Danio rerio: one gene and its partner. The protein of the gene in region 1 purifies or fractionates together with the protein of each later gene. This does not show direct contact. Links are inferred from orthologs where the notes say so. Each region holds a gene or a part of one and is shown on either strand. Other genes may lie near its edges.

The links.
Region 2: the proteins of cep290 (region 1) and cep97 purify together in Homo sapiens (co-immunoprecipitation; 4 studies listed by BioGRID and IntAct, with this or other methods). This does not show direct contact. The link is inferred for Danio rerio from reciprocal best matches to the Homo sapiens genes CEP290 and CEP97.

What each region holds. Positions count from the first base shown.
Region 1 is NC_133200.1:18,927,507-18,931,341, reverse strand, and holds part of cep290 (centrosomal protein of 290 kDa), read left to right. Parts: intron 1-670; coding exon 671-1,126; intron 1,127-1,681; coding exon 1,682-1,846; intron 1,847-1,927; coding exon 1,928-2,035; intron 2,036-2,148; coding exon 2,149-2,283; intron 2,284-2,668; coding exon 2,669-2,932; intron 2,933-3,015; coding exon 3,016-3,123; intron 3,124-3,267; coding exon 3,268-3,467; intron 3,468-3,547; coding exon 3,548-3,761; intron 3,762-3,835. UniProt on the Homo sapiens protein: Involved in early and late steps in cilia formation. Its association with CCP110 is required for inhibition of primary cilia formation by CCP110.
Region 2 is NC_133176.1:204,897-207,336, forward strand, and holds the end of cep97 (centrosomal protein of 97 kDa), read left to right. Parts: intron 1-217; coding exon 218-656; intron 657-868; coding exon 869-944; intron 945-1,192; coding exon 1,193-1,480; 3' UTR 1,481-1,890; downstream 1,891-2,440. UniProt on the Homo sapiens protein: Acts as a key negative regulator of ciliogenesis in collaboration with CCP110 by capping the mother centriole thereby preventing cilia formation. Required for recruitment of CCP110 to the centrosome.

The DNA of each region.
Region 1 (3,835 bases):
TGGTAAAATAAGCGTAATCTAGAGGCCTTTGTCTTTCATATAAGACACTTTTGATACCAAATGATCAACTGGAAGTTGCATTATTCTCTGTTGTTCATAAAACTTGGATAGGCGACAAGAATTTTGTCAGGTAGTGTATACTACACACAGACACTCACAGAGATATACTTATATTCTTGGATTAATACTAACGGCATTAGTTGTGAGACATTATAGACGGATGGTAATAATTTTAGAAGTGACATACGAGAGTAAAAACTATATAGAAACATCAACATTATGTTTTGTTTATTGATATTAATAAGCCCTGCTGCACTTCTCCAGACATGCCCACACTTCCCTGGAATACAGATTAAAAATGTAAGGGAAAAAAATCAAACAATATCAAATTACACACTTTTTAAAAAAAAAGTGGAATTTTAAATTGGAGCAAAAAAAATCTAATTAATGCCCAATTAATGTTCAGAGTACTTAATAAAATTCTAATTTAAAATAAAAGCGTATTAAATGTTCAACGTTGCATTTTCTTACGTTCATAATTTTTTTTTTATTAAAAAAAGGAAAGGAAATCTTGATTTTCATCTGCTTTTGAGAATCGTTATTAGAATCATGAAATAAAAAAACAATTGATTGAAAATTCTTTGTTAATAATTGCACTTCTCCTCTTCAGGCTGAGTCTGATGAAAAGGCCCTGATCGCCAAACTCCATCAGCACATTGTGGCTCTCCAGCTGAGCGAGACCACAGCAATTAGCCGTCTGGAGGCCGCAAACACACGTCTGCAGAAACTGGAGGCGCAGAAGCTCCGTGACGAACAAAAACTGGATGAGCAACAGCAGGCACTCTGGCACGCGAGGCAGGAGGGTCACCAGCGGGCCAGACACCTCCGGCACACCATCCAGGCCCTCCGCAGACAGTTCTCAGGAGCCCTGCCGCTAGCCCAGCAGGAGAAGTTTTCAAACACCATGCTCCACCTTCAAGAGGACAGGGCTCGGGTCAGAGAGGATGCACAGATAGCAGAGGAAGAAAGAAGGAAGGCAGAAGGGAAGGCGCAGGAACTGGAGCTAAAGCTGAAAGGCTTGGAGGAGCTCATAGCAACACTCAAAGATGCTAAAGGGGCTCAAAAAGTAGGTTGATTGATTACAGACAAAGCTGTGATGTGAAAAAATACCTAGCTACATTTTCAAGAATAAGTTGTGTATGCAATTTCTAAAAAAATAATGCACATTTATTGTGATGATAGAGTCTAGATGGATAAATGAATTATAAACAGTTTAAGAGTGGATGGATGGATGGATGGATGGATGGATGGATGGATGGATGGATGGATGGATGGATGGTAAAAAGGGGCTGTAGATCTATGGATGGGTAGAGACAATTGTTGGATTGCTGGATGGATAAATAGCTAGAGTCTATGGAGAGATTAAGTGGATGGATAAGATGATGGATTAACTGATATTTAGAAATTATGAATGGATGAATGGATAGAGTATATAGCAATATATAGATGTATAGATAGATAGATAGATAGACAGACAGACAGACAGACAGACAGACAGATGTGATTTTTGTTTAGAAATGCATATTAAAGGTTTACATAAATTAAGTTACTCATATTAAAAGTGTTTCTTAGTGTATTTAAAATGTACAATAAGTTTACAGCTTAATCTCCATCCCTACAGGTGAGTGAGTGGCATAAGAAACTGGAGGATGTTCGTCTGTTGGAAATGAGGCAGAGCAGAGAGCTGAACACTCAGAAGGAAGAGATCAAATACCTGAAGAACTGTGTGGCAGAGCAGGAACGCACCATCAGTGGCCTGGAAGAAGAGCTGGTGCAGCAGAATAATGTCAGTATTGCATTGAAACACTTTTTGACATTATATATAGAGCAAACTTAAATCTAGTCCTATTCGCTTTCCTTGTATCAGCTACTCGAGGAACGCCAGTTGATCTGGGATCAGAGAGAGGTGCAACTGGAGCGTCAACTTGACTCCTATGAGAAACAGCAGAATGAAGTTCTGAACACAGCTCAGAAGGTACCGTCAATACAAAGTCTTGGCAGACATGGCAAATGTTTTTACTGTACTCTAGTATGCTGTTTTCTGAAGGAAAGTTTAACCTGCACTTAACCTGTCCTGTCTGTGTTTAGTTTGAGGAAGCCACAGGTTCTCTGCCGGATCCAAACCAGCCTTTAGCAAACCAATTAGACTATGCACTCGGAAAAATCAAAGAGCATGTTCGTACCATTCTTGAGACAAAAACTACCTGCAAAATTCTGGAAGAGGTACTTTTTAATCCAAGTTTAAAATCAATTCACCTTTACTTTACCAAAAGGCCTAAATATGAAAGTTCATGTAAAAATAATCGAATTCCTTCATGTGATGGGGGCTGTCATGTTAATCTGTGCTAAAGTGGAGCTACTGGCTTTATAGCACATGAATTCATCCACTTATGTTGAGGTTGGGGAGAAATGTATTACAATAATACAATTTATGTGAAAAATAATTTTTGAAATGATAAGCATGAGTAAACGTTCTAGTACGCCACTAAAACAAAATCAGATCTTAGCACAGCAGGACCATTTTAATGCTCTTCTAAGAAAAATGTAAGATTTGGATAAACTTCTCCTTTAAGGGTGTCTCAAAAGCATTTTCTTTTTCTCTGAGCAGAAGCTAAAAGAAAAGGAAGCTGCTTTATGGTCATCAGAACAGAACGTTTTATCTCGAGACAAAGTAATCAATGAACTTAGACTTCGTCTACCAGCTGCTGCTGAGAGGGAGAAACTCCTGGCTAACCTGAGCAAACAGGAGGACTCTGAGAGCCAGCCCACCCTGAAAGTCGCTCACCAAACCATTAATAACCTCCAAGGGCGTCTGGATCAGAAAGAAGAGGTTCTCAAAAAGTACCAGAACCTTCTAGGAAAGGCTCGCCAGGTACCAGTTTAACATGTTGTAAAAATTGATAACTGTGTTTTTATTGCACAATTAAAATAAAATATCCCATCTTATTTTTCCAGGAGCAGGAAGAGATTGCCAAAAGACATGAGGAAGAGGTCCGGGCCCTTCATCAGAAACTAGACGTCTATATGGACACATCTCTGGACCGCTTCAAACAAACCGCTCTGGTACCTTGAGTATTAATTATAAAGCTCTAATTGGGCCAGAAGTGAATTAAAAAAACAAACATGGTGTACAAAATGAATGTAATAATATCATAAAGCATTGCAGTTGTCATTTTTATTAGGTTAGTCAAGTTTTTTCTTCTGTAGGAGCTCATTAAGAAACCCACCATCACCGTACCGACAAGTAAACACTTGGTCCGGTTGGCAGAAATGGAGCAGACGGTGGCTGAGCAGGACAATTCCCTCTCCTCACTCTCTCAAAAGCTGAAGATTGTCACTCAAGAGTTGGACCAACAGAGACAGGTGACAGCGGCTCAAGCCATGGAACACGCTGCAGATATGGCCAGGTGAGAAATCGCGTGAATATGTTATATAACATCTATTTAATGATTCCTCATGGCAAATTGAACCATCTTGTCATTCCAAGATTGGAGGATAAACATGCTGCCCAAATGAAGGGTCTGTCCCAGGAGGCAGAAGAGCTGAGGGCTCAACTCATTCAGATGGAGAAAGAGCTGCATTACCTCCGTACAGAACTAGAGGCTCAGAAGGAGGCCAACGTCAGATCACCATCCAACACCATGAAAAACCTTGTGGAGCGCTTGAAGAATCAGCTGGCACTTAAAGAGAAACAGCTTAAGGTAGTGGACAACTAAAGTAAAGGTAGTAAAATTCAAAGGCTTTACGCATGTTGTGAAGTCTTAATTGCTCCTTC
Region 2 (2,440 bases), on another chromosome or scaffold:
GCACAGTACAGATGAGTGCGTGTGTGTGTGTGTGTGTGTGTTCTGCTGATGTTTGTGTGTGTGTGTGTGTGTGTGTGTGTGTGTGTGTGTGTTCTGCTGATGTTTGTGTGTGTGTGTGTGTGTGTGTGTGTGTTCTGCTGATGTTTGTGTGTGTGTGTGTGTGTGTGTGTGTGTGTGTGTGTGTGTGTGTGTGTGTGTGTGTGTGTGTGTGGTGCAGATGTGGAGCCTGCAGTTCGGGTGAACGCGTGGATGGACTCTGTGTCTCCACCCTTGGCCGCTCCTCCCCCCTCCGCTCCTCCCCCCGCTGTGGCTGCAGACGGGCTGCTCCTGCAGGATCTGGAGGCCCCGGGGCCGCTGGCGTCTGAATCTGCCGCTCCTCCGGCTTCAGCTCCTGACAGCGGAGAGGAGGAGTTTGAGGACTCTCTGGCTCCTCCCACATCCACTCAGCACCGTGCCCCAGGGGAGGAGCCAGTGTGTGGGGGCGTGTCCTCAGAGCATCAGCAGTGTGAGCCGCAGGACGCCGCCGTGAGGATCCAGAGCTGGTGGAGGGGCCAGTGGACTCGCCAGCGCCACCCGCAGGCCAGAGCGGTGCGTGCAGAGATACGCATGCGGAGGATGCAGGACCACATCATACACCTGAGCACACAGCTGGACAGGTGAACTGTTTGTGTGTGTGTGTGTGTGTGTGTGTGTGTGTGTGTGTGTGTGTGTGTGTGTGTGTGTGTGTACTTGTGAGGTAAAGTGGAATGAAGAGCGCTAGAGGTCAGAGGTCGGCTCATCTCTGCTCCGAGAATTGAAGATGACTCTAGTTGAGATCAAGCACAGCGTGAACTGAAGAGTGTGTGTGTGTGTGACTGCTTTGTTTCAGGGTCCGCCGGCAGCAAGAAGAAGAGCGACTGCAGAGACGTGTTCAAGAAGAAGCAGTGAAGGTTCTGTGGAAACAGGTCAGTGAAAAACACACACATAAACACACACAGACACACACACACACACACTCACACACACATAAACACACACAGACACACACACACACACACACACTCACACACACACACACACACACATAAACACACACAGACACACACACACACACACACACACTCACACACACACACACACACACACATAAACACACACACACACACACACACTCACATAAACACACACACACGCTGAACATCTGCTTCTCCAGCTGCAGGTGTTGTTGCAGTGGCAGGCGTCTGTGGACCAGCGGCTTAACACAACACACACTCCTGCGCTCAACAAGACACACACTCCTGCCGACAGCGCAGCACACACTCCTGCAGACAGTAGCACTGACACACACACACACGCTGATCTCTCGGTGCCGGAGTGCGGTTCTCCGTGTGTGAACAGCAGCGCCGCCTCTGGAGACGCGCAGAACTGCAGTCTGCTGGAGCAGTACCTGAGCTCCGTCCAGCAGCAGGACGAGGAGGAGCGCGCCGCACACGACCTCTGACCTCTGACCTGACCGCACCGAGGCATTATGGGATGTTGAAGGTCTCTGCCCTCGTCAGCAGTCGTGTATGATTAAACATCAGTTTTCTGCCAGTTCTCTTCAGTGCTGCTGACGGAGGCTCCCTAAGAAGTGCTGATGCTGTCTGAGTGCACTTACTGGTGCACATCTCTCCTTCACAGCCTGCAGCTGTAGATGAAGACGCCGCCGTGGAGTAATGTCAATGTGTTGGTCATCTGCTGCAGTTCAACCCCGCAGAGAGTTTAGCAGGCTTCAGTGTGTGTGTGTGTGTGTGTGTGTGTGTGTGTGTGTGTGAGCGCGCTCGGCATGTGCTGCAGCAGTCTTCAGTTGAGTGTTTTGTATGTCAGATGTTTTACAAATCATTTTTGTAAATAAAGTTTTAATTTCCTTCACCGCTGTGTGTGTGTGTGTGTGTGTGTGTGTGTGTGTGTGTGTGTGTGTGTGTGTGTGTGTGTGTGTGTGTGTGTTTATTTCCATCAGGAAGATTGGTCTAACACAGTGGTTCTCAAACTGTGGTACGTATACCACTAGTGGTACGCGGGCTTCCTTCTAGTGGTACGTGGAGGGATGCAATATGGCATGTACATGCTACATATATTTCCAAATTTATCAAAAATGATGTATATAGTATGCCATACATGACATACAGCCTATATTTCTGAGGTATTTTGCCACATTTTTTTAACTGTGCAGAGTTGTAGCTGCTTTACTGGGCCTACTACACTACTGTATTTCAATACTGCTCATTTTGGTGGTACTTGGAGAGACTATTTTTTTCTGAGGTGGAACTTAATGAAAACAATTTGAGAACCACTGGTCTAACACATTATTGTTCCCTCATGTGGATTATTCAGTGTGCAGAAATACACAGTATATGTTATAAACACTGAGCTGATGTTGATACTCCGAATGCCGCTAGATGGCGCTCTCCGTGTTCCTGCA